4 linked regions of the Mytilus edulis genome follow. The protein of the gene in region 1 purifies or fractionates together with the protein of each later gene. This does not show direct contact. Links are inferred from orthologs where the notes say so. Each region holds a gene or a part of one and is shown on either strand. Other genes may lie near its edges.

What was found.
Region 2: the proteins of calnexin-like (region 1) and ER membrane protein complex subunit 1-like purify together in Homo sapiens (affinity purification with mass spectrometry; 4 studies listed by BioGRID and IntAct, with this or other methods). This does not show direct contact. The link is inferred for Mytilus edulis from reciprocal best matches to the Homo sapiens genes CANX and EMC1.
Region 3: the proteins of calnexin-like (region 1) and WW domain-containing oxidoreductase-like purify together in Homo sapiens (affinity purification with mass spectrometry; 3 studies listed by BioGRID and IntAct, with this or other methods). This does not show direct contact. The link is inferred for Mytilus edulis from reciprocal best matches to the Homo sapiens genes CANX and WWOX.
Region 4: the proteins of calnexin-like (region 1) and protein-L-histidine N-pros-methyltransferase-like purify together in Homo sapiens (co-immunoprecipitation; 3 studies listed by BioGRID and IntAct, with this or other methods). This does not show direct contact. The link is inferred for Mytilus edulis from reciprocal best matches to the Homo sapiens genes CANX and METTL9.

What each region holds. Positions count from the first base shown.
Region 1 is NC_092351.1:90,147,065-90,154,375, reverse strand, and holds the start of calnexin-like, read left to right. Parts: upstream 1-4,295; 5' UTR 4,296-4,386; intron 4,387-7,311. UniProt on the Homo sapiens protein: Calcium-binding protein that interacts with newly synthesized monoglucosylated glycoproteins in the endoplasmic reticulum. It may act in assisting protein assembly and/or in the retention within the ER of unassembled protein subunits.
Region 2 is NC_092356.1:55,262,961-55,270,240, reverse strand, and holds the start of ER membrane protein complex subunit 1-like, read left to right. Parts: upstream 1-4,258; 5' UTR 4,259-4,293; coding exon 4,294-4,391; intron 4,392-7,280. Other genes in the region: C-type lectin domain family 4 member E-like, read right to left, coding at 5-47. UniProt on the Homo sapiens protein: Part of the endoplasmic reticulum membrane protein complex (EMC) that enables the energy-independent insertion into endoplasmic reticulum membranes of newly synthesized membrane proteins.
Region 3 is NC_092348.1:28,720,398-28,727,551, reverse strand, and holds the start of WW domain-containing oxidoreductase-like, read left to right. Parts: upstream 1-4,147; 5' UTR 4,148-4,254; exon of another isoform or gene 4,255-4,267; intron 4,268-7,154. UniProt on the Homo sapiens protein: Putative oxidoreductase. Acts as a tumor suppressor and plays a role in apoptosis. Required for normal bone development. May function synergistically with p53/TP53 to control genotoxic stress-induced cell death.
Region 4 is NC_092348.1:52,998,939-53,006,183, reverse strand, and holds the start of protein-L-histidine N-pros-methyltransferase-like, read right to left. Parts: upstream 3,010-7,245; 5' UTR 2,847-3,009; coding exon 2,667-2,846; intron 1,235-2,666; coding exon 1,044-1,234; intron 479-1,043; coding exon 378-478; intron 1-377. UniProt on the Homo sapiens protein: Protein-histidine N-methyltransferase that specifically catalyzes 1-methylhistidine (pros-methylhistidine) methylation of target proteins.

The sequences.
Region 1 (7,311 bases):
ATCTACGGCTGCAACGTCAACTGCTAACCAAATTGATGAATGAAATTTTGCACAGATTATTGCCATAAATGTTTCCCATTAACTGAACTGGCAAAGAATCGACTGCAGAAAAACATTTAGAGCCTTAAAGGTTAAACCGCATAATTGACAAAACCCATTGTAATGGGTGGAACAACGGCAAAATCAGAAGGTGCAAAACAGAAACCAAAACGTGCCGAACAGAAATGGCTGACCTTTCTGACAATCATTTTGGCGTTTGTTACAGGCAGTCATTGCTTTTGACGGTGACACGTTCATTGGTATAGGGAAAATCAGGGTTTCAGTGTATAACACAATATTTGAACATCGAAAATGACGTAATCAATTCAACTTTCGAACTGCATTTTTTTTTTCAAACATTTAAGTAATGACAGAACTTTCTATTCATAAGTTTGTTTACAAAAAAATGCATAATTAAAAATGAAAATTGAAAAGAATAATCTAGTGTTGCGTTTCTAAAGCCGGTCAGTATACTAGAAAAATTATTTGATAAAAAAATGACGCCAATATATATATATAGCTTTTCATGTTCTAGAAGAGAAAAAGCTTATTTGACAGACACTGACGTCCACAGCTTTTTATCTTCTAGAAAATCTTATATGACGGACATAGCTGATATCAATTATAATAGCTTGTCCTATTCTACAAAAAAAATTAATGAAAAACCCTTCTATAAAAAAAAAAATTTAACGGACACTGACGTCAGTCACTATAGCTTTTGATTCGTCTTCTAGATAACTTATTTGACGGACACAGTTGACATCAATAGCTTTTAATCTTCAACAAAAAAAAAATGAAAAACACTTTCTACAAAAAATAAATATTTGACGAACACTGATGTCACTATAGCTTTTTTTATTTTACAAAAAGTTAACCTTATTCGACGAAGGCTGATGAGTTTTAGCATCTATACATACCTTTTTTACGGACACTTATGTAACTAGCTTTTTGTCTTCTATACATAACAGTATTTGACATACACTGACAACGTCAACCAGTTTTTATTCTTGTACAACTATGGCTTTTCATCTTCTAAAATAACTTATATGATAATCACTCAGTGGCGGATTCAGGGGAGGGTTCCGGAGGTTGGAACCCCCTTCTTTGGACGATCAATGCATTTGAATGGGGACATATAGTTGGACCCCCTTTTTAAAATGGCTTGATCAGCCCTTGCACTGACGTCAACAGAGGCGGATTTGGGGGGGGGGGGGGGGGGTGATCATATAGGGAATCACTGAAGCGTGACCGGAGCGGGTCCCGTCTTAGGCAGTCAGTGGGCCCCCACCTAGATCCGCCACTGGTCAATAGCTTTTCATCTTCTAGAAAAAACGTATTTGACAACCACGGACGTCATTATCATTTTATCTTCAAGAATAAATACTGATTTTACAGACACTGACGTCCACAGCTCTTCGTCTTCTAGAACATTGTATATGGCATACACTGACGTCGATAGCTTTATAATTTTTTTTACAAAAATTACAAAAACTTATTTGACATACACTGACGTCAATAGCTTTTCGTCTTCTAAAAAATCTTATATGACAGAAACTGACGTCAATAGCTGTTCATCTTCTAGGGGAAAAATAACTTATATTACACTGACGCGTGAGTAGCTTTTCATCTTCTAGAGAAAAAAATTATTGAACAAAAAATAACATGTTATATTCAGGTATATAGAAAACAAATCTGGGACAATTGCCTTTGTTGGTATACAGTAAACATTTCATGCCAGTTAAAAAATATCCAATGTGAATATTGGAAGAGGACTGGTGCTACAACGGGTCTGTCTACACTAGCGTAAAATAGAGTCGAAGATACCAGAGGGACATTCAAACTCATAAGTCGAAAATAAACTGACAACGCAATGCATGGCTAAAAAAGAAAAAAAGACAAACTGACAGACAATAGTACACTAAACACAACATAGAAATTAAAGACTGAGCAACACGAACCCCAACAGGTTGTCTCATTGGCACTCACACCACATCTGCCTTTATCTATATAAAGAGATAATCATAGGTGCTCTGGAAGCCGGTAAGCAGATCCTGCTCCACATGTGGCACCCGTCATGTTGATTATGTTAGTACACACGTTGTTATAAGTCTAATTCGGTATGTCACATTCTGGAAAATTGGACGGGGTGTAGCTACGACATTAGGAACATATATCCGCTGTCGGTTTCATAGATCTGTGAGAGGTATATACCATACATATACTGTCAACCATCTCAGTTCTGATGGCATCCGTAAAACTTACGCGGAGTTCCGAGTCCTAAATATATATGACTTAATTGTCAACAAATACTAAATACTCAAACATTTACTTGCCACTCGACTGGGTCTGTGTACACTACATTTTGAAATGACTTTATTATTATGTTGTATACCTCTTTCAGTGTCGATGTGGCATGCAGTATGTTGGCGAGACAGAGCAGCCATTCAACAAACGCATGAATGGTCATCGCAGTGACTACACTTGCAAGCCCGACCTACCCGTAAGTCGTCATTTGAGATGCACCAGCGTCTGTGGTTTCCGCTTAAATTGTATAAACTTTCAAGATTCTGAGTGTCTCAATTTGAATATATCATGACATGATTCATTTGACATCGTGCTATTACCGAAGAAGGATATCTGTTATCCGAAATATTTAATATTTGTTCATTTTATAGTTATTTAATGGTGATGTTGTACCCTTTTTGACTTGTTATATATCATATTTTGTAGTGTACAGAATCGTATTACATGTTCCATCGCCCTGTAAGATTAATCGTTGACTATTTATTCAGTCATTTTATATATATATATATATATATATATATATATATATACTATACTATAGATAATTTAGCTGATCTGTAAAAATAACATCTCCATGTCTTATATATCATGTACTGTAGCACGACGCTAGATTAAAACTGACGTGGAAAGGTAACACCCGGCCACCGAAAGCTTCATTTTTATGAAGCCCAGGCCTTGAAGTCATAAAACTTTGGTCAGTGCTCGGAGCACAAAAATCATGCTCGAAACCTGAAATCCAGCATTTTCAAAACTCTTTAAAACTCTATTTTGTTTTGAAACATAAATTAACCTAAAAGATTTTAGATTAAGGCAATTAATCTGTAAGATAAGAATTAGCGCTCATGGTAGTCATACAAATATTTACTTGGATTGTAATTTGAGACTGATCAGAGATTATATATGTAAAAAAATTGTGCCGTGAATCAGGAACATATATATTAGATATACTGTTCCCAGCGTGAATAGATTTGAATAGAACACTTTAATAAAAAATGTTTATAATGCATTACACCCTTTTTTGGCTGAATGCTCACTATACGTTGATAATAAAAATAAGTCTTTTGCTGAAATTCAGTTAAAATGCAATAATTTTCAATCTTTAGACAATCTCTTTTTAACTTTTCATATATTTACTATTAGTTAGTATAATTCAAGTAGTTTAATTTATACATTAGCGGCGCAGTATTTATCCAAAAATCTGGCAATAAGGAGAAGTTCAAAGATAATAATTGCAAATTAGCCACAAGTATAGAAATGTTTTAAAACTTGATATTTGAAAGTTATCAAAGGTACCAACATTATAATTTAATCGTGATGCCAGACGCGCGTTTCGTCTTCATAAGACCAGGGACTTTCTATACTAAGAAATAGTATAGAAAATCCCTGATAAGACTCATCAGTGACGCTCACATCAAAATAGTTATAAGGTCAAACAACTTGAATACCATATATGAGGGCCCTCATGGGGTTTTTGATTATGTGATTACTTGGCCGTTTTTTTAATGATTATTTGATTATTAAGCCAAATATTTCATGATTATTTGATTACCTAGGACTGTATTTTTAGTTTATGATTATTTGATTACTAAAGATAAGCAAATATTTAATGATTATGTGATTATATTGGCAAAAAAATGGTGATTATGTGATTCCTAGGACCCCCCCATGAGGGGCCTCATATATATACGAAGTTGAAGAGCATTGCATGAGGACCAAAAATTCCAAAAAATTGTGCCAAATACGACTAGAAGGTCTAGAATGTAATCTTTTCCTGGGGTAAGACAATATATGTCTGTTGCTGTTAATAACTAATTTTAAAAATCTACGGATTCTAGTCTGAGGTTCTAGTATTCAATTCAAATGCAATTTAAAAAAACGCGCTTTTTAACTTTTAAAGTATATAGTAGCCAATCAAAAATGTCGTTACAAATTTCCTTGATATAATTTCCATAACCAATCAAACATCTCCACGTTTATGAACTTCATCTGTTGACCGGCGTGAGGGATTTGGAACGCTTTTAACTTGGAACACCAGAATTACTGGTAAAATGTCTTATTATGATTCAAATTTGAAATACTTTGATACTTAATTCCCACGATCACTTCTGTTTGAAACACCAGCTCACTTGGAAAATGCCCAAAACCTTCATTATTTGTAAAGAAACGATTAAACCGAAAAAAGGGGGAGGACGAATAATCATGACATGCCTGATTTTTCAGATCATATGATCCAGTAACATTAGTCCCTAGTCAGTATTAAAACTTTAACACATTTACTAAAGCTCAGTCTTGCTTATTTTTATTTGGCCTGAATGATTTTTTTACAGCCCAATAGAAACTGCAAAAACTATGTCCCATAATTGCATAAAAAAAATCTCTATTTTAGTGACTGAGCGAATTGCAAGTATAAGGTTGCTGCAAGGGTTACCTTGAAGACTACAGAAGTCTTGACCAAGGATAAGATATTAGCTTCATATCTTACATACAGCATATATTGTCTATTGAAAGAGTAATGATAAAACTGAAAAAGGGGGTGGCTAACTGGCTAATTAATAGACCGAATTCGGTCTAGCTAATTAATGAAAAATAAAAGATATCAAACTGTTTATTGGTTGGTATCTAAATGCTGTATTCACCTATATGAGAGTATGAAGACCGTTAACCGTCAGTCTTTATTCTTGGAAACCAGCCATACCAAATGGCTTCTTTAGTCTTTAGTCTTTAGTAAGTGTCCCAAATGACACTGTAAACACTTGTGTACGTTTCCTCTTTTGTAGTTTCTTCACATATGTAATGTTCACTCATGTACTACAGGGCTCACACTACTTCAGAATTATAGGGAGAAGTGACTTCTCTTTTTGAAACTGATAGGGAGAAGTGGTGAGATTAGAAAGAGAAGTGCTCATTCGCGCTGTGCGATACAATGTTTGGATTTTACAATAGTATAAAGGGCCATATATGTAAATAATGTTCTTTTTATACTGTTCAATTCATATCTGAGTAAAAAAATTACAATTAAAGTAACATTTGAAATTAAAAGTAGTTTAAGCTTGTGAGAAACTACCAACTAAATATCTAGCACTAAAAAAATAAAAAATATTTAAAAAAATGTAAAGAAATTATAATATATCAATTACAATTTAATTAAAAATTATCTTGTGTATGACATTCAGTGTTTCTCATAAAAAAAATATAAAAGTTATTAAGCTGGGCCATAATATATTGATATTAGTATAATAGTCTCAGAGTTAAGTAACTTTAATCAATAGTTTGAAACAATCCATAAAAAATATAAGGAATTATATACACCAATCAATTAGATGTAACCAAAAGTCTCTTAATGCGTGTGGAATGCGTAATTTTTCCCTTTGGGATCAATATTCTTCTGTCAGCTGTTCCATCCGTGTGTCCGTAGTAATTATTGTAAAAGTACGGATTTCGGTCATAGCTGGTCCGGTTCAGATCCGTAGATTAGAAATCGGTCAATGGCGGCCGAATGCAAGAAAATTTACAAAAATAAACGATGTTTGACAAGTTATTTGGAAAGAAACATGACGTTTTTAATGCAATAAATGGATTAAAATTTACTGGAGGCAACTTTTATCACGTTTAAATGAAGTAACAAACTTATTTTGCCGCAGAAATTGAGGTTGATGTACGTTTTCGAGTAACAAGCACCGGTACTCGCAGAAATGCACGAAGTGATAAAAAGTTGTATTTTTATCAAATAACCTGCTACCCACTGCGAAGACAATGCTTCAAACTCTTTTCAAAAGATAATGAATCGTTTATGTCTGAAATTTTTTAATTATCAATAAAAATTTGATGTTTCATCAACTTGGTAAAAATTGAAAATGTCCGATGACGGAAGCGACTGAAAGCGACTGTCGTCAAGAACAGGGCGACTTGTTTTCGCTTTTGGGGGTCGAGGAAAGCGAAGTGACGGTCGGGAAGGCGACTTCTTCGCCCAAGTCGCCTGGTAGCGTGAGCCCTGCTAGATTGAAATGGTGGCTGCTGCTTAAAAAATTTTGACTTAATTTTGATATAGATTTATAGTGTTTTTTGCTGTATAGTGTTTTTGAATCTACCAGACTCCGTTAAATAATTTTCCAGATGGCACAATATCTCATTTCGATTGTCTCTATTAATGTCTTCTTCATCGATTCCTAATACGGTGTCTAAATCCATGTGTATATTTCCTGTAATAAAGTAAATAGATGTTCTCATCCTCTCTCTAGCCTCCTCATAGTTAGAACAATGTAAAAGGTAGTGTTCTACAGTTTCGGCTACTATTCTTGCCTTGGAAACCAGCCTTTCTGATCAAAATCATTGTTGCTTTTGTTTATATTAGGTAACAAGACTGTTAGGCAAGGAAACCAATCACCTCCATGTTTAATGCAATAATGGACAGTTTGGGACCAAGAGAAACCAGGCCAAAATAAAAAGATTGTATGTTTGCCCAAACGCGACCAACCCAAAATAAACCCGCCGACTCAAATTCTTTTTTGACGTTTTTTTGGAGAATTTTTTTTTTTCAGAATTTTTTTGGGTCCGCTCCGTCATCGTACAAAACTTAATGTTTGTCGTCTTTGCGTTTAAAAGTAGCTGTGAATAAGATTAAAAGAAAGCGTATAAGAGACACAGTTAATCGATATTCAATGTTCTCTGTTTTTATCTTCTGATTTAACAATGTTTAACGAACGTAAAACAGTAAAACATGTGAAGTGGCACAGTTTTTTTACGCTGTAGGTGTCTGTACTACCAAACCCTTTCCTATATACTCAATGTTAATTTCATCATGTTTATCGTAGAGTGGTTGTTTCGGACACAAATTAAGGCTTAGTAAATAAGAACGTCTGCTTGCAATGATACTTGTATTGAACTCTGAAAAGCTAACGTCACAACAACGGTGACGTCGTGTACATGGAGAGCGGTAGAGGGAACACCTCATGTGCAATTCTTAACATT
Region 2 (7,280 bases), on another chromosome or scaffold:
ATACCAACAGTCAATACCAAAAATAGAGTAACACATACAGATTTCATGTCAAATCCCGATGTGTCTCTTTACTGTTTTGAATTATCAAGATTTTTATATTTGATTACATAATCTATGGGCCTCTAAGTCTCTGATTAGTTTGACCCTTTTATTTGATCTGCACGGAAATAGAACAGAGATAAGAGACAATATTGATATGTGTTCCATAGTTGTAACATGTGTAAAGAATCTTAAATCGGTCAATAGTTATACGAAGAAAATTGAAAATGGAAATAGGGAATGTGTCAACTGAGAAACAACAACCTGACCATAACAACCGAAATATATAGGAGGGGATATGCATACATTTTTCTGTTTATACCACCTTGGTTATTCTAGGAATGATTTGTTGGAGGAGTCCTTAAGCAAGTGTTTAGTTCAGTGGCGCAGAGGGCGTAGTCACCATTGAATGGGATTACATTTGAATGTTTAAAAATGTATTGCTATCTCCACTCGGTAGTTATTCATCTTTTATCTGAAATTACGCTCCCATTTTGGAACAGCCCCTGCTAGCGGTGGGATAACCGATGAATCGAAAGTATATACAATACTGAACATTTCTTGCGTTTTAGATGGGTCCTAATGTAAAATTGTGTGTGTGAGGTCCCAAAGTTAAGTCAAAACAATTTAGTATACTGCTTGTCGATCTCCATAACCATGCTGAATAAAACACCAATTATAATTGATACATAATTTCAATAATATTTTGTTAATATGTGCAAAAAGGTAGTTGCTAGTATAACCTCTTTGATCTGTGTTAAGTAAGATATTCATGTCAATGCATATCTAATAAAAGGTTGATCCATTTAAAACATTTTAATTATTATATAATTTTGATGTGATTATTTTGTTCAGGTTTGTGAACTTGAAACGTTTCAAAATTTTTATAAGTATATTGTTACATGTAGGAGATAAATTTTATCAAGACAAATCTATCTACAACCTCTTTGCTTTCAGTGTTCTGTTAACTATCTTTACAGTTATTGGAACAAAGATTGTAATAGGACATGCCAATTGATAGGATAATGTTGCATACTTACCATGCTTACCGTAGTTAAGTTTTTCAGTCTCTTCAGAAAATCACAGAGAGGGGCATGCTTAATGTTTTTGGCTAAATCAAAAATATGCCAAAGCCTTATCCCATTTTCTTGGCGACTTTGATATATATTTTAATGATATTAAAGCTCAAACTAGAGGCTCTAAAAAGCATGTTTCGCTCACTGTGGTCTATGTAATGTTACAGTACTTCTCATAAACGTTATAATTATATTTTTATTTTATTTAAAGAGGGTTACACAGTTAGCTATAACTTCAATCTTCCCTCAAGCCCTCATGATATACAATGAAATATTATTAACAAACAATTATAAAATATCAAACAAACACGCATATGAAAAAATGAAATAAAAAATTGTGATGAAAAAATAATACAATTTTCAAACTGACAGGTAAAAATGACAAATTCACATAGCATGTATAGTATTGGCATCATTCAAATTACCGCAAAAATATCTTAAATAAATTTCTTTTCGTTATAAGGCTTAACGAATACCGTTATGCGTAGTAATTTGTACGGGTGGTTCACCAGTGCATACGGGTGGATTCACCCGTGCATACCTAAGCGGGAATTAAATAATTCGACGGTTTGCATTCAATCAGTCTACACGTTTAATTCAATTGCTGTTGAGGTCTGTTCTAGTAACTTTTAATTTTGTTTTTGTAAAAAAATAAAAAATAGGTACTGTCTTTCACACGTATAAGATTATTCTTATAGAATTGTACAATTCGGCAATAGATGCACATGACTGTATACTGTCCAAAGTTACAGTATTTATTCAATTTTCTTTTTTCGTTCATTTACATGTAGTTGTGAATTGTTTCTAATTTTTGTAATTATATTTTGTAGATTGTTCAGGCTGTTGATCATACTTCTAGTGAAGAGAATGTGATAAGGACTGTTTTTTGCGTAACAGCTGCCATTCTAAATTTTTGTTCACATGTTGTTATTAAAATAAATAAATAAAGTTATCCAATTCTTGAACCAATACATGTATATATCATTAACTAAGTGTTCTGTGCACCATTTTATCATTTTTTTACACAAACATATCTTATAATCGTCATTTTGTTTCAGTCTCTCTATCTGTTATTAGGTCCGAGACCGGACCACACATATAGTCCCTAGTGTTGACAGTGGGTTACTTGCCATTAATTTTTATACCCCTTCCAAATTTATTTCTCCATGTTTAATGCCTCAAATTGCAAGTAGGGGAGTGAAATTACTCTGTAAAAAAATTTGGGTCCAGAATTTTAAAGGAAAGTAGTAATTTGGTCCAGCTGAAAAAGATTTAAACTTAGCACTTCAGAAGCTCTCAAATTTAAAGATTTCAAGACGCCCTAAACATAAAATTGTCAATATTTTGAGTTAGAGCCAATGAAGTTTTCTATAATTTTGATATAATTTGTCCCAAAAGTAGTACAACACACTGTAAAAGTTTCTTTGAGAAAGCGCAGGTGGGATTTTTTTTATTTTCATTTATGTTCTAAAAGAAATGCACTAAGAAATAATTGTGGTCTCGGACCCATACATGTAAGTAAAAAACATGGCCTGTCCAGGACAGATTAGAGTAAATTCTAACACCTTAAAGTTTTTCAATTGAATGACGTTTTACCTGGGAGTTTAGTATTAAATAGGCCGAATGAATTGTAGGACGAAATAAGCATAATCGAACAACTCTTTTTCGTAGAGATCGGTCTCACTAATTAGCGACAACAAGAATTTTAGCGACAACAAGCGTCAACAAGCGACAACAAGAATTATTTTAGCGACAACAAGCGACAAGAAACTATTTAGCGACAAGAAAACATTTTTTTTTTAATTATTAAAAGAATATATGCAAAAGAAAATAATTTTAGCGACAAGAAAGTTAAAATTGATAGAAAAAAATGAACATTATTTACATAATATTTTATCATCTATTATGAATAACAGCCAATATTACGTTTAATTATTGTATTATGAGATTACTTTTCCTTGTGTTTTAGAAAATATTATTTATCTTATAATTTGTTTTTTAAAACTCTTTTCGTGCAATATATATTAAGCTCGCAAAATGAATTATTTGTGCATCATTGTCCTGAAAATATTGACACAAATTGTGAAATACAACATGTACAAAACTGAAATCATACAGGAGGAAAAGAAAATTGAAATGTGAATGTTTTCATCTTTTTATTTGTTTATTGCCTCATTAAACGATATTTATCATGTTTATGCATATTGATTGAAGATGAAAGGAAATTAATGACAATCTTGAGTTTTCAACAGGTGTTCATTATTTACAATGATTGTATATTCTGGCGCGTGTAATTGTATAGTCTGACGCGTGTACAAAGTTGAAGGTGTTAATTGGATGTTATTGTAGCAATAAAACAGGGGACACGCGACTCGTTAACCTCATTTGATGTTCCACATGTTTACTTATCAAAATGGGACCACCATGTACTAAATGTATAAATATTATGTTAGATAGGAATGTACATATTACTATATAATGACTAAAAATAATAAAAAAAAAAATAAATGTATGGACCCCAAGGTAGAACCACGTCCTCGTCGTGGGGTCTGGAAACACGCTTAAATAATAAAGATGGCAAAGCGTGGCTGAGAGTTCTATAAATAAAGCATCGAATTGACATAACAAGAGTCTGAGACTACTATAACATAGTAGTCTCAGCAAGAGTACACTTAGAGCATAGTATTAAGCAAATGAATCAAAATATTATATTCCATTATGCCCGCTCCATATATATCTCCATTCGTTTATTCATACTTTGACTTTATATTATACATATTCTTCATATTTAAAAATAAAAAAAAGAAGCTCAATCTCTTTCTTCTTCACAAATATTAAATTTCTTCATCTACCAATATACTAATATAAACTTCACAATCTCTTTCTTCCGCACAAATGTTTCATTTCTTTGTCTGTCTATATAATAAAACATTTTAATTAGACATATCTGCTCGTATATTTAAAAAAAAACATTAAATACAAATTTCTTTATATCTAATAAAAAAAAAATGTTTTCTTGTCGCTAAATAGTCTTTTTGTCGCTTGTTGTCGCTAAAATAATTCTTGTTGTCGCTTCTTGTCGCTTGTTGACGCTTGTTGTCGCTTCTTGACGCTTGTTGTCGCTAATTAGTGAGACCCGTAGAGATACAAAACGTTACCGGTGGCTGAAGGAAAAAAAATGCTTTCGAGTATTGTTAAATTATCGTTTTTCCTCCTAAGCACTGCGATTTTACATGTTTCTGGTCTTTATGAAGATCAAGTTGGAAAATTTGATTGGTAATGTATTTTGTAAAATTGTTCAAAGCCATAAAAAAGTAATATGTGCAACCGTAGAGCAGTTGAAACATTTTGGGGGGAGGGTGTAATATTTGATTAAATCCATTTTTTGTCAGTATAATCAGTTTGTTGGTGGTGGCCTCTGTCTGCTAGAAGCAGTATAGTATGATTTCTCATTTTCCCTTTCAACTCAGCACTATACAATGCTATATGTACATGTGTAATCGGGGAGCATGATTTTCATTACAAAATCACCTGTCTCTTTAGTCCAAATAATTATGACGTCTGACAAGGCTATTTTAATTTTTTTCTGGGACGCCTTCCTACAACAAAATAAAATAGCCTTGCCAGACGTCATAATTATTTGGACTACTGTCTCTTCAGCTGTTCAGTGACCTCTGACAGGCTCTGTTTCACAAGGCAGCTTGTTAACTAACTTAGCTAAAGAAATAGTTTCTTAGCTCAATTGCTTACAGCTGACTAAGTATCTACTATAAGTATCAAGAAAAATAATCCAGACACACTTCCCACACATCAAGAGTCATTATACTACTTTGTATGTTGATGCTTTCAACTATTTATGTCAACACTTCCCTGGCTAGGTAATTCTTTTAACTGTGTGTATTTATTGTTGGGAGAGCATGATTTTCATTGCAAAATTGCTTGTCTCTGTCCTTTGGGACTCTGTATTACAAGGCAGCACATTATTTATGTTATAAGTCATTAAGCAACTGAAAGAAGTACTTTCCTAGCTCAACTGTTTATGGCTGAATAAGTATCAACTATTAGTACCAAAGGAAGTAATCCTGTCACACAGTTTCAGTCATATACTGAACCCAGGGATCTCCTTGGATGAAAATTGAACGATGGAGGAACTTTCACCATTACAAACCGTGTCTACGTTGTACAGTGTAGCGCGATTGGAAGTATTTTATCCCTCCATACAAGGAATGGTGAACATGCTAATTCATTGCTTATTTAACTTATATTTATTTGAATTTATAGAATAAGAAGTATCAATATTTTCTTTTATTGCCGTTTTTAACCATTCAAATGCCAAGTCTTCATGGTCCCCCTTAGTCGAGAATGACCAAAAGCTGTCATGAAGGTCCCCATGTAGATTTCTTGTATTTTTGATAATTGTTATGGGGGTTAAAAATCATATGATGTGGAGCTTATTTTCATGCCAATCATGGACACTGTTTAATTCAAAACCCATTACCGGTATGGCTGATTTGCAGCAACTACAAAACGTACGGGTTATGTAAAAGGTTAAAGAGATTTGTAAAGCAAACGTTGACAAATGAAAAGGTTTTTAATGACTTCATTTGACAAATTGATGCTGTGCAACATGCATCTTTCGAGTCTGAATAGAAACCGGAAACGCGGATGTATCAATTTGATTGTAATATATACGAAATGAATTCGGAATTACGATACGATATTTCTTTACAGGAAATATTTAAGTTTTTACTTTTAAACTTTTAAAGTAATTCTAAATTATAGTTACAGAAGTACTCGAGTTATTTGCGATGAAATAATATTTACAATTTTGCGTCTTATTTTGTACTTCTTAAAAAAGGGGGATGCTGATTGCGTAAGTCAAAATAAAGCACGTGTTCGACTTGTTAAACTGTTTTCTTTGTAACTGGATTATTTTTTTATTTATTTAATCTAAATTATCATAATCATTTGCTGAAACTTAGTTGATTAATTCGACAAATGGATCGTCTATCCTCAGATAGTATTCTCCTATCTGGTTTGTTGATCTACCTGTACAGTGATCGGGAAGGAAGTGCGCCCTGCGCCTATAGCGCATATTGACCAGAAATGGCGCATAGAGTGACAAATGTAAGCGCCCACGTGGCGCACAATATTTTTCACATCGTTTCGAAACGTTTAGATATCGTCAAATGGATTTCCGATCGTGTTCCTTGCCGCCATTTGTGTGTACACAACTGTATAATGTTGCTCCAATCATAGGAGCACCTATATATATTTTTGGGACGTCTCATTGTTTTCCTATGGTAATAGAACCATGCGGTTTAACGTCTCGGGTGTTTTCCTATGGTAATAATAGAACCATGCGGTTAAACTGATAACCCAAAAAACGTAATTAACCATCATTCATGATATAATTTTTTATAAACAACTTTAAATTTGTGAAATTTGGCTATTACAGACGAGATGTAACTCTAATAATAATCTTTAATTTAGTTTAGCTTGCTATTATTTCGATTGAAAACCCCCGAAGCCTTTTTATGAATATAGTTTTTGTCTCCATAAAAAGCGCTTAACTGTCCTTGTCATGTTTTGGTCTTTGGCCAGTTTTGACATTTTGTAAACATGACCAGCGAATTATTGTTTTGTTCTATCAATTAGTGATACTCTCTACTGTTATTTTTGTCATCGTTATAAAGTAATAATATTAATACATGAAGTGCAGAGGAAGTGCCTGAAATGACCTCTAATACGGAACGTCTGGAATAAGTATGGTATCGACGAAGACCCAAATTTATTGTTAAAAAAAAACAACATGAACATGAACAAGCCAAGGCAACAGTACCAGTTTAGACATTGTAAATAAAGGTTATCTTTAATATTGTCTGCTTTGGAAGAAATTATTGTATATTAATTGAAATTACAGAATCACAGGAACAATATCCATGATATTATTTAACAACGTAAAGGTAAGTACCAACACCTCTTTGCCAAAAAATAATGATACTTTTTATTTTTTTACCGAAGTCAATTCAAATGGCCCACTCATTTGACAATATGGCCCATTATTTTTTAAAATGGCCCATTGAATTTATTTTTGAGGGGCCCTGGGCCCATAGTGAAAAAAACCTTCCAGATCACTGCCTGTACAAGCTCAGGTACAAGTGA
Region 3 (7,154 bases), on another chromosome or scaffold:
CCTAAGAGAACACAGGCCTACGAACCTCTTCATTATTCTATCAGCTATAGTTTGAACTTATGACAGCTCGTTCAACATCTTTTTTGAAATTCTAACTATTTTCATATACATCAATTGATACTGGGAGTTTATTTAAGATCATTTAAAATACTTACATATCAATTACTTCTTGTTATTTTCATTCGGTAATTTAGTATGCGACTTTGTTTTATATTTCTGGCTTTCCAAATTTTGATCTCGAACGTACCTATAAGTAATGAAGATTAATTAAAAAGAAGCTACTATAAATATGTTATCATCTGGATGAAAACTCAAAATCTTGCCGGCGGTCATAGCATTCATCGGACTTAAAATCAAAGATAGCATATATATATATATATATAGTGTCTAAAAATAGCAACAATCAACATTCAATCTATCTAGGTGTGGATCAGTTTGTAAATATATATATGTATATATATATATGGCAGTGGCTATTTGACCGGCACCGGCAAAATAGCAAATTTGCTATTTAGCCGGCTCTGATTAAATTCTATTTCACTGGAATTAAAATTTAAGAATAATAATTAAATATCAAATTTTATTTTAAAAACTTTTGTTACTGTTGCTCATATAAACACTTAAACTTCTTATCTTAAAAAAATAAGAAACTACGTTGCTTACACATACACAAAATTGACAAAAATGATGAAAGAATAGAATAGAAGTAATAAGATATATTAAAAAGTGAAATACAAATATGATAATAGTCACTTTGTAGCTATATATACTACATTCCAGAACTAGTATACTCTTTTTATTTACGGAACCAGCATTGTGATTGTGTTGCCGATGCAATGACAGAATGGTCTTTCAGTACCATGAGAAGACTTGAGAAATACAATTATAATCAAGCAATAATCTGGCTAGTCTTTTGAACATAAACTGTAAAAAAAAAATCATCTGACACATTTTATTTCAGTATAAGAAAGAAAAGGAAATGGTCCTTGATTTTATAATTATATTTGAGAATTAAAAGTTGAAAAAAGACTAAAACATAGAGAAATTATTTTTTTCCTCAAATTTATTTATCAAATATTTAGTTTCAAAAGTGGATTTTTAACTGCTGAAAATATGATTATTGTGAGGTCATGTTAAGTCCCAGGAAATTGCCAGAATGCAGGACTTTCCCCTATTAACACCTTAGTAGCTTCTGGGGACCTTGAGTGGCCCCAAGACCCCTCGCCATGCATATGACTTACCCCCGGCTTTGAGTACACATCATTTTGGCCACATGATGTAGATTCAAAGGAAGCCAGTGTAATGTGTAGTTCCTGTTTGGAGTGGCAAAATTTTTTCTTGAGCTAGACTTAAACAACTTCCAAAGGCAAAGAATTGGTTTTATAACAATTGCCAATATTAATTCATGTGTCCAATTAAAATTCATAGCAAACAAGTTAACTATTAATATTGTCTGTCATGTCTGTTTTATGATGTAGTTTTGCATAACAATTGTGTTATCACTGGCAGGATATTTAAACCGTAGATTTTACACAGATTTGAAAATCAACTTTTTTATAAATATTTTAGAAAAAAATATTTTTAATAATGTATTTACAATTGTGTTTTCATGCTTTAAATTAATCATTATAAAGTTATAAATTATTTGTTTAAGAACATCTTCAATATGTTATTTTTGATTGTACTGTATTTTTAATGCTTGATATTGTGATAAAATTATTTTAAATTATTATAAATCTTTTTTTTTCTACTAATCACATCAATGAACAGTATTATTCAGTGCCGGCTAAATAGCAAATTTGCTATTTTGCCGGTGCCGGTCAAATAGCAAATTTGCTATTTTGCCGATGCCGGTCAAATAGCAACTGCCAGATATGCCTATATATATATAGAGACAGAAAGAGATACAGTTCAGCCAGTCACATACACAGGCACTTGTCTCAGAAAGAAAAAAAACTTAATATACTTTGATATGACAATAAGTTTCTGAAGTTTTAGTTTGTTTTTTGCATTTTTTTTTTCGCTGTGTCTTGTCCCCCCCCTTTGCATATTGTGAAGATGTGTCTTGACTGTCGAACATACAACTCTCTACCAGCGACCAAATGACGATAATGTAAACAACTATATAGATAGTCACCTTACAGCCTTCAGTAATATACATTTCCCAAATTGTATAGTAAACTATGCAAGGGCGTAGCTTACGTTGAGGCAACCGAGGCAACTGCCTCAGTAAAAAAAAAAGAAAAAAAATATTTTCCTTCACTGTATTTTCTTTTAAATGGTTATTGCAGCAAACTGGCTACTAAACAATAATGTAGCAACTTGATATGTCTTGTTGGCACGGTTATTGATTCATACCCTTTACGAATTATTCAAGACTTATGGGAACATTTGAATTAATTTTCCCTCCTCTACTTGGAAATACCCTTTACGGTAGTTTTCTGTAATTCAAGTTTGTCAGAGTAAAAGGAAATCGACAACAGATTTATTTTGTCCTACCCCATTGCAAGCGAAAACAGTGAGTAGAATAGATGAGGATGCAACTCACGAGTCTCCCGATCAAATCACTTTACCATTGAATTAGGTCAATTAGTTAATTTTGTGTCAGAATAATTTCTAGTACATTGTATATGAGGGCCTGGGTGAGGTTTTAAGAAAACAGAAATATCGGCTCTGAAATTAATTTAAATTTGAAAGAATATGGATTTAAAACGGAGCTAAATTATAAAATAAAGGAAAATCAAATTATGGGCGACAATGATTAAAAAATGAATACTTGATAATCACATTCTAAGCATTCAAACCCTCATTTATAAGTGTTGACATGTTCCCCTACGACTATGTTCATTGACTTTGGTACTAAACAAAACAAAATATGCATTTACATTTATACATTATAGGGCACAGAAAATAATTTATAAGATGGGGTTCACAAGTTTTATTCTCGCTATTTTAAATTCATAGTACGTTTTCACAAGCAGGGAATTTAAAATATTTAAAGGAATCACTAATTCCAGAGAAATATGTCTGTTAGTTAATACATAATGTCAGTTTATATAAAAAAAAAATCAACCAAATACTGTTCATTTATAATGAAGACTTCAGAATAAAGTAAATGTTAGTTATTTGCCGGTTGTCATGTTCATCGTGAATGGGAAAAAAAGTTTAAAATCATTCAATATGTAATTTCAAGACCTTCGAAGGAATACACCACTAAAACAAGTGCCTTGCTGCACTTTACATGTAGCATATGTTTTTGTCCTTGTTTATCCTGAAATTTGTTTGTTCAATCCAGCATTAATTTTGTGGTGATTATCTATAATTCGTTGATTCGTATAGGGCCCTCATTACTGGTCAATGATGATCAATGATGAAGTATTGTCCTCGACCACTTTATATATAGATATATATTTCAGGGAAGATAACATAGAAACGATCTTTACTTAATTTTTTTTTTGAAGAGAAACAGACTTTGTGAATTATTGGTCGACTTATTTCGAGTTGATTTTAGGCGATTTAATTTCAACAATTTTATTTTAAAAAAGAAACACAAATTTCATCCGAAAAGAGACAATATACCACCCGATTGACCTTTTTCTGGAGAATTTCAATGTAGAAACCTATTCAATGCAGAAAACCTATTTTATTAAATGCTGGAGACCCCATTTCACCGAATGCGACATAAACAATATTCTTCTCAGTTTCATAACGGGTGTCAACAGTGGAGCAGGGCTGATCATGATTATTCTACAGTTAAGTAATATTACGTTTATATGACTTTTAGTGAAATTTTCATTTAACTTTCAATACAAATCCAATCACGATTAAGTAATCAGGCGAGATATATGAGCGTGTGCTTCTTTTTTTTTTTTTAATTACTAATATTTTTATCTTGATTTCGTAACCGACTAATCGAACGCAAATCAATCGTGGACCGTCTCAAGATAGATTTTAAGAAGGGTCGTCTTATATTTTTTTTGCATTGAAGTGACATGTAGTATTTAAAGAAAAGGTCTATATCTAAATAAATTTGATAAAAAGTCATTAAAGATCCTGAAAATTTTGAAAATGTGGCACAAAATAGTGGATATTCCTAATCCAGATTACTTTTTCCGAGTTCGATTTCTAAAATAGTATTCTCGTTTCCGGTAATATTCTTAGCACCTATTTTGTGAACCCTATTTTGTTTTTACATTTATTTCTTAACTGGCATTCTGGCACACTGATTGATTACGCTGACAGTATATCGACAAAGTATGTAGATCGGGTCAGGATGCCGGTCTTATTTATTTCTTTTCATACGCAATAAGAATTATTTAATGTTAAAGTTAAATGTATTCAATTTCAGAAAATTTGGTTGATTATATCAGGTTGGGAACAAACCCCCCCTGTATGGTGATTATACCTGTACAGAGGGATAATCCTTCTTTAGAGGGATAAAATTATCCCTCTATAGAGGGGTATTTTTGTTTGCATTGGATTTAAAGCAAATTAGGGCAGAATGGCATTTTCTAGATATATTGGCTATAATCTCTAGCATTATATGCATCAACATATGCATGTTAATTGGACATGCTTTGATACTATATATGCCCTTGAATTTTTACTAGATAACATTTTTGTTCGCTTTGGAGATTCCGTATATCGTCAGATTATCGGAATTCCAATGGGGACTAACTGTGCACCACTTATTGCGGACCTGTTTTTGTATTGTTATGAGTTACAATTTATGACATAAATAAGCAAAGACCCATCGAAACAACATCTGATAAACAAATTTAATAATACTTTTAGATATTTGGATGATATTTTGGCTCTCAATAATGACGACTTCAGTATGTATATTAATGAAATTTATCCTGTTGAACTTACTTTAAATAAAGCTAATACTAACAATGACCACTGCCCTTTTCTTGATCTTGATATCTATATCACTAATGGAAAGCTGAATACTAAAATTTATGATAAAAGGGATGATTTTTCATTTCCTATCGTTAATTATCCGTTTTTAGATGGTGACGTTCCCTTGTCACCATCTTACGGTGTTTATATATCTCAACTTGTACGATTCGCTCGTGTATGTAACAATGTTTTCGATTTTAACGAGAGAAATTTATGTATTACTGAAAAATTATTACACCAGGGTTTTCGATATCACAAACTAGTCAAAACATTTACTAAATTTTATCATCGGTATAAAGACATCATTCGTAAATATAGCTCAACATGCAGACTTCTAATACGTTCAGGTATTTCACATCCAATTTTTTATGGTAATATTCTTTATAAAGCACAAAGGTGTCAGTATTCACCTCAGAAACTTACAAAACCTTTGAATAGACTTATTAACATGATTAAGAAGGGATATAATTACGATACTGTTGTCAAGTCATTAAAGATTGCATATTTTGGCGTTAATATTGAGTCACTGATAAGGTCTTTGCATCGGAACTAAACCCATTTATTATTAAATACAGTTGTTGGCATGACACGGGTTATGTTCTTCTCATATATGTTATGATGGTATGATACTAAACCCCTAACGGGAAGGATTGTGCCTGATGTTCATATGATGAAATCATAATCTTTCAGTCAGTTTAATTGAAGTCTGGAGCTGGCATGTCAGTTAACTGCTAGTAGTCTGTTGTTATTTATGTATTATTGTCATTTTGTTTATTTTCTTTGGTTACATCTTCTGACATCAGACTCGGATTTCTCTTGAACTGAATTTTAATGTGCGTATTGTTATGCGTTTACTTTACTACATTGGTTAGAGGTATAGGGGGAGGGTTGAGATCTCACAAACATGTTTAACCCCGCCGCATTTTTGCGCCTGTCCCAAGTCAGGAGCCTCTGGCCTTTGTTAGTCTTGTATTATTTTAATTTTAGTTTCTTGTGTACAATTTGGAAATTAGTATGGCGTTCATTATCACTGGACTAGTATATATTTGTTTAGGGGCCAGCTGAAGGACGCCTCCGGGTGCGGGAATTTCTCGCTACATTGAAGACCTGTTGGTGACCCTCTGCTGTTGTTGTTTTTTATTTGGTCGGGTTGTTGTCTCTTTGACACATTCCCCATTTCCATTCTCAATTTTATACTTTACTCACAACTGGGATAACCAGTTTTCTGCTAAAGTTACAAAACTTGAAATCTATTGTATACCTATCTGAACACCTGATCAACAACAAAAGGAATAGTTGACCTTTAAATTTCATGTTAAATCAAACAATAGAAATTCTGTTCAGTGAGGCATAAGTGAGTAGAATTTACCTGATCATCACAGCTTTCAATCATGGTGAACAATAGATTTTATATTTAGTCAGATAAGCATCAAACTGGGCATGTGCATATTAAATTAAGTACATCAATTGGTGCATCAACTGTTCCAGGTTACTGCCATAATAAGTAGAGAATGCCATTCTGCCCTAATTTGATTTAAATCCAGTCTAAACAAAAAAAAACTTCTATAGAGGGATAATTTTACCCTCTATAGAAGGATTATCCCTCTATACAGGTATAATCACCATAAAGAGGGTTTGTTCCCAACCTGTATATAGGAAATCTCTGTAACATGACTGGAGCGGGCCCACCTTAGGTCAGTCAGTAGGCCCCCCTTATGAAAAGTTCTTGATCCGCCACTGGCACCAGTCATAGTACAGCCTACAGGGTCCATTGAAGCACAGACCAAGGAAAGACCTAGGACTTGTATGGACATTAATAATTTTTTTGATTGTATTTTGGCCATATTTGTTTTATTTCTTGCTATTGAGCACAGGCACTTGTCTCAGATTTTTTTTCTGGTGAGTTGTGTGTTTCCAATGCATCGTCAGTGGACTAAATAATTAAGATTGACATACTTGGATAGGATTGCTACGGATAATTCCGACAACAAGAGTAGGCGTGTTATACACCATTCACTTGAAGATGAATCAATTTTGATTTACGACATAACAAGTTTTAGTTGTGTTGACAGCTGAGAAATCGGCATATAACGAAATTTCGGCACCAGCTGACATTTTCCTAAATCACAAGTAAAGTACCTTATGTTATATAAAGGTGTATAGGGATTTTTTTTCTGAGACGAGTGCCTGTGCTATTGAGCTGCAATCCTATTTTAATTTTCACAGCTGCATCAGTATTGTATTGATTTAGA
Region 4 (7,245 bases), on another chromosome or scaffold:
AAGACTTAATGTTGACCTCAAGATGTCTGAGTTTTGTGTTGTTGGGTTCCTCTCACTATTGTATATATACCACATTTCCCTTTATCTAAACAAGCATAATACTTTTATTTTTCACTGCTTCATTTTTAGTTAAATGGGAATACTGTAAACCAACTTATTTTTGGGAGCGATTTATTTTTTTGTGACTTTCACGAGTAGCGCTTATATAAATCATCATAAATATGTTAAACTTGTTTCTTTCCTCATTAAACTACATCAAGGAAATTAGAAAATCACAAATATAAATAGCCGCAAATTGGATTAGAAAGCGTAAAACGTGAAATAAAGTATCTGCAAAAATAAGTTGATTTACAGTAGTCCTTTTACTTTTCTCTTACCAAGATCTAGTAACCTATTTCCTTTCCTGTCTGGTGCTACATGTAACATCTGTCTAAGCTGATCTTTGGAAAATACAAACATTGATCCTCTTTTTAATAATCTAACGAAAAAAAAAATGTATACTCTTAATTAAAAAACACCTTAGTATAAAAGCTCTTTAAAATGAAAAGCTTTTACTTTAAAAAAAAAAAAAACAAGTGTTTTAATAGGGTGGATACTCTATATACATGTAATCTATAAATTAAAATGCCTTTTCTGTAGTATTGTTGTTTGTTGGTTTTCCTTTTTAAATAGTTTTACACTACCGGTAGTCACTTTTGTGGCCTTTATAGCTTGCTCTTCGTAGTGAGGCTCTGTGAGCTATAACGGTTTACTTTTACAAATTGTGACTAGGATGGAGAGTTGTCTTATTGGCACTCATACCACATTTTCTATAACTGTATAGTGGAGTATTTTCACATGGTACTTATTTTGGCTCATTTTGGCAGGTCAGGGGAAATCTTTATGTGTGCTTCGATACTTTCTAATAGCTAAAGCGTTTGTAAAATATTTGTTTCTCCCTGTTCGACCAATTAATAATGGTTTATGTTTATCTAAACCTCCTAAATACCTTTGCATGCTATTTCAAGACTTTGTATACACAGTGCTTTATTAGAGAGCATTACCCATTAATCGAGGTGCTTGACATAAACCAACCAAGTACAGATTTACAGATGGAATGACCTAGCTGAGTAAATAACCAATCAGATTTTTCATAACATTGGTTTAGGAACTGGCTTGTTTCTTCATCCTGGTTAAACTGTAAAAACTTTGCACAAATCTCTTCTGGAACTTTGGACAGGTCAACTGTATACCACTTTGAAAGAAAAAAAATCAACTTCAATAAATCATGTTTATTTTATACTGGAGTTACTTTTTTTGATTCTGAGTTGATGTCACATCTACAAATGTAGATTCTGAATGATTCAGTTCTTGGCTTACAGTGGTTTCATTTATTTTTTTGAGGTATCAATTTTTCGTGGATTAAGGAAAACTTACATTTTCGTGGATATTTGATTTGGTGGTTTTGCAAATCTCTGCATACAAAGCCTATTAGAAATTTGTTATTCATTGAACATTTGATTTCGCAGTTCACCTGTAACCATGAAACCCATGAAAATTAGTATCAAACAAATGTTCATGTAAAGAACATTGTACCTGTATGGTCATTTGTCAATTTTTGAAAATCATAAAACAAGTACAGAGTGTGGCTATAAGTATTCATCACTTTAGATTTTTCGCTATACATTGTATATTGTATATAAAAGTACATTTTTTCAAAAAATATTTTGAGGTCATTTTTGGTTTGATTTTAACCAATAGAAGCAGAATTGTCACATGCTTATTTGTTTATTTGGTTATATTTTTTGTGGATCATTTTCATTTTTTCACAAGATAAATACAAATATTATTTTCTGTTCAGAAATTCGCTGTATATTCAACCAAATTAAATTATAAAAATTTATTGTATGTGTTCACATCAAGAGAAAACAATAACACCCGAAGACAAAACTATCACCAAATAAACAAACAAACAATTCTACTTCTTTTAAAGCCTTGTTCATAAAAATCCAACCATAAATGCCCTCAAAATATTTTTTTGAAAAATTGTTTTTATATGAAATATATATATATAAACAAAAATGCAATACTTTTGGCCAGGTACTGTACATTGTATAAACTATTTTTTAAAGTTTATCATTCAACATACATATACTTCATTTTGAAAAAGTCTTTTGAAGCTAATCAATCCTCTAGAATAATGAACATTGTATTTTAAAAACAGTTTTAATTCTGGCATTTTATTATTCTCAGATCCGGACATCCTGGCATTTAAATTTTTCAAGGGGTGATGCAGATAGGATTCCTCTAGATTTTTCATCTATTTGAAGGTGATATCTGATTATTTATATTGCTGATTATTTTTTAACCAGAGGATATAGTATGATAAAAATCAAAATGGAGATATTATATAGTGTCTTTAACAATATTAAGTGGGTAAAATTACTAGATTCAACTGGTGTCAATATATATCAATTAAATTAATTTGCATTGAAGTCTATGGAAAATCTAGAGGATTCTCATCCGCATCACCTCTCAACATTGTTTACATAACAAAAATGCTAATCATTGATTGGTCAGTTACATGTTGTGATGTCACTGCAGATCTGAGAATTTGTACATCTCCCCATAACATTTTTTTTTTACATATGGATCTAGCCATGCTAGCTATTGCTAATAAAACATACGTCATCATGGGGATTATTCTTTTGTTTTTCATCCTCTCTCATTTTATTGTAAACTGAACGTAGCAATGGACTGCGAATATGACCAATTCCGGGGATTTGATCAGCTGCTTGGCTCATCCTGATATTAACTGCTGTCAACAGTTCTATGAATACACATCCCAGATAAATGGATAAGTTCATGAAATATTATGGACATATATTACTGAATTTTTATATATGTCTTTCTCTACGTTATCGTTTTACATATTCTTTTAAAGTCTAGATCAGTAAAATTGTCTGAATCAAAACAATAACTGACTGAGCTGTGTAAAACACATCTTCCGGTTTAAACGAAATGTGTATTCTCCCTTTTTTAGAAGTTTTGCAGCGGCAAATTTCAAATGAAAACTCAGCATATGAAGATGTTGGTCCCCTCCGTATAACATTCAGTATATGCCTTCGGAAAATACAAATATTGTCAAGAATTTCAATAACGGCCGAGAAAAAGACTAATGAAGATATTATCAGATATATTATATAGTCTTTCCAGCGCTATACTTGGCAAAATTTTCAGCCTAGTTGTTATAAAGAAACATATATGTGTTACCAGTTCTTATCTAGGACATGTAGGATTGGTAATTCTGTTTTTTTCACATCACATTATTTTTTCAAGGATTTGTAGATAAATATACGGGGGAGGGGGTGTTACTGACTGGCCTTTCGATGGTATAACTGTGCAGTGGCGGATCCAGGGGGGGGGGGGGGATTCCGGGGGTTGTAACCCCCCTTTTTTTGGCCGATCAATGCATTTGAATGGGAGCATATAGTTGGAACCCCCCTTTACTCTTTGTTGGGAACCCCCCCTTTTTTTAAATGGCTGAATCCGCCACTGCTGTGCCGACAGCACATGCAAAATCCTACCCTGTTCTAACCAGAAAACATTGAAAAACATACCTTGTTCTAAACACGCTCAGTATAGCCTACCCTGTTCTAGACCGTGTGAAATAGATGGTTCTAGACTGTATCTCAAACAGTTAAATAAGCGATCCTGTACTAGACAAATACTTTGTTTAAAAAGACCCTGTTCTCAACAGCGCTGCAGGCCGGCATGAAAATGCGACCCTGTCACAGTCTTACCAGCAGGACACAAAAAAGGGACCCTGTTCTAACCAGCAGGCCATGGAAAAGGGACCCTGTTTTGCTGCACACCCATACCACTAAAAATATAGGAAGCAACCCCCGGGATAAATATACTGTTCCCAGATTGACCAGACATTTGCGCTTTTTACCTCTACTCTTCAACAATCTTCAACCTATAATTTTAATGAGTTACGTAAATAAATTCAACTTGAATGTGTCGTTAGTAACTTAGCTAGTTCACATTGCCACAGTCTTAAACACTGAAAGGAATATAAAGTTATAGCAGGAACATACATGTCAACTGTTCCCAGGTTATATAGACAAGTACAGGGGAACAAAATATATATGTTATGATTGATTTTTATCGTATAGGGCCCGTTGTTGAAACCCAATCTCTAATTTGTTTGTTTTTGCTTTTATAACAGGACAATTCTAAAAATCTGAGTTGTTCCTAAAGTAAAGCACAACACGGTTGACGCAAGAGCCTTGGAAAGGAGTCAATGGCAAAAGTCTACAGATTACCTGACAGCAATCCTATCCCAAAAATGATAGAATTTGTTCATACCTTGCCACAACATAGTATGCATGGTGATATGTTTAAAAATATAATAAAATGATAGGTCACCGAGCATTTTCTGAAGCTACAGGTTGGGACAAAATGACAAGTTTTGTATGGATTATACAGTGAAAAAGCATTAATGTGATTAGAAGATAAATTAAATGATAGACTGATTGTAAAATAAAATACGAGAAGATATTTTTTATAACATGCTTTGAGATTATCAAAAGAAAAAATAGGGTCACCGTACGTTTTTTCTTGCTAAAATATGAAATAGCAAAATTTCAACAAGATTCCTTCAACCGTGAAATGCACTGTTTCAGAGTCACCTCCCTTTAAAATGCAAATTTTAAAACATTAAAAATCAAGCAAAAAATATAGTTGAACTATTGCTTATAGTTTAAGAAAAACAGACACATAATCTTAACACTATGCAATGAACCGTGAAAATGAAATAAAAAAGATCAAATAAAACTGCGAGACTGACATGTTCATCATAGAATATGTCCATACACCAAATATAGTTGACCTATTGCTTATAGTATTAGTAAAAAAGATCAAAACTCAAAAACTTAACTTTTACCAATGAACCATGAAAATGATGTCAAGGTTGATACCTGCCAGTTGGAAAATCAAATGTACACCTTACAATTATTCCATACACCAAATACAGTAGACCTATAATTGCATATATTATAGTAGTAAAAAAAGCTAGATCAAAATACAAAAACTTAACTATAACCACTGAACCATGAAAATGAGGCCAAGGTCAGATGGCACATTCCAGTTGGAAATGTACACCCTTTACAATCCTTCCATACACCAAATATACTATAAATATGCTTTATATATCATCTGAGATATGGACTTGACCACCAAAACTTAATCTTGTTCACTGATCCATGAAATGAGATCGAGGTTGAAAACTGTGTGGCGGGCATGAGGACCTTGCAAGGTATATAAACACATACCAAATATAGTTTTCCTACTACTCATAATAAGAGAGAAATCAACATTAAAAAAACTTTTTTTCAAGTAGTCACTGAACCATGAAAATGAGGTCAAGGCAAATGGACATGTGACAGACAGAAAGTTCGTAACTTAAGGCATCCATATACAAAGTATGAAGCATCCAAGTTTTCCACTTTCTAAAATATCAAGCGTTTAAGAACTTTTAAAAGTGATCTAACAACGCCGCCGCCGGAGCACTGTCCCTATGCCGAGCTTTCTGCGACAAAAGGCGCAGGCTCGATAAATATACTAATAGTTATAAGTTAACATCTTAACAATTTGTTCTTTTAAAGGAAAATTCACATTAGTTATGTGCGTTCCTGCATCAAATTTTGCTAACTTGATTGGAAATCTTGACCTTAGTATCTCTGTTATTTACAACCCAAGACGGAGAAAGACACCAATACTACTTCGTGTACGTTAGATGACACTAGTATCGTGCGACATTTCAATACAATGATCAATATAATACTTCCATGGTGAGAAAAATAGAAAAACACGCGAGTAAGAGAGCACGGAAACCGCCATAACCGAAAAAGAGATTGAAGTATGTCTGATAAAAGTTTTTTTTTTTTTAGAATTCCTAGATAAACCAGTCGCATCTTATCATTACAACATACATCCTCTCCTTTAGCCCCTTGCATCAGTTGCTTTCTAAGACAAACTGTTGTATATACGTAATGCTTTGTAGACAAACTCATGTTAAAACTTCCTTTTTTGTTGATTTTTTATATCACATGTAAGCATCTGGGTACCTTATTTAAAGAGTGCTATTCTAATATTTATCGAATGTGTATTCTTTTTTATTTCAGCACAATCAACTTTCTTACATTATATATTATATCCAGACTGTATACAGTGATTGATTAAAAATCAGATCTTAGTTGCCCACACGAGGATTAAAGATTGAAACAGAACTATTGCAATTGTATTACGCCACATCTTTATCAAATTTTGTATATTTAGGAAGACACACAGTACAATACAGAATTACCTATTAATGATCAATTAAGGTTGAAAAATGGTTCGTTGTGCAAGTAGAGATCAGGAACCGTCAATTATGGCTTAAATCGCAATACCAATGCAACATTTTAAAATTGAATTTGATATAGATAATTTTTGTATGCAAGACTATCTATAATTACGATTTGATTTGGCCCCATCAATCGAAGGCTTAATTTCACATCACTATACATTAAGAAAAGCTATGATTGTCATCCCCGGGGAAGCGATGGTAATTAATCAGATGACAAAGGTTCCCGTAATTACGGATCTTTCATTTACGAATGATCTGTTTTGCTTTTGAATAATCCCTTCATTTCCATCATTTTATGACTTTTGTTTCAAGCTTTGCATAACGACATCCCCTGGCCATCTAAAACTCGGCCAATGTTTTTTAGGGAGGGCGTAAATTACATCATTTTTCATTAAAAACAATAGTTTACTTCGTTAGTCTACCTTGTTGGACTCTGATTGCGAATTAACAGGGAGCATTTCATTTATGTTGTTCTGGAATTCCACAGAAAATGCAACATTAATGTAGGAGAAATGAGACAATTAACGAAAATAAATTTATCTATTTCATTCGATTTTTACCAATTAGGCGAACCACTGAAGCTATTATCATATGGTATTCACCACAAAAATTCACAATTATTAAGATAGATTGAGTTGAAATTCCAAATTACGCCGATAATGCGTTGTATAAAATTCCCCAATTAAGTCTTATTTTGAAAATATGATATAATTAAACAGTCTAAGAAAACGCTATCCCTAAATCAAATATGGTCTGATTCATGTGATTATTATTCATTTAAGAAATCCATTTGTAAATTGTTGTGTATTTGTCTTTCCATCAACAATAACAACTAAACACGGCACTAGTAATTG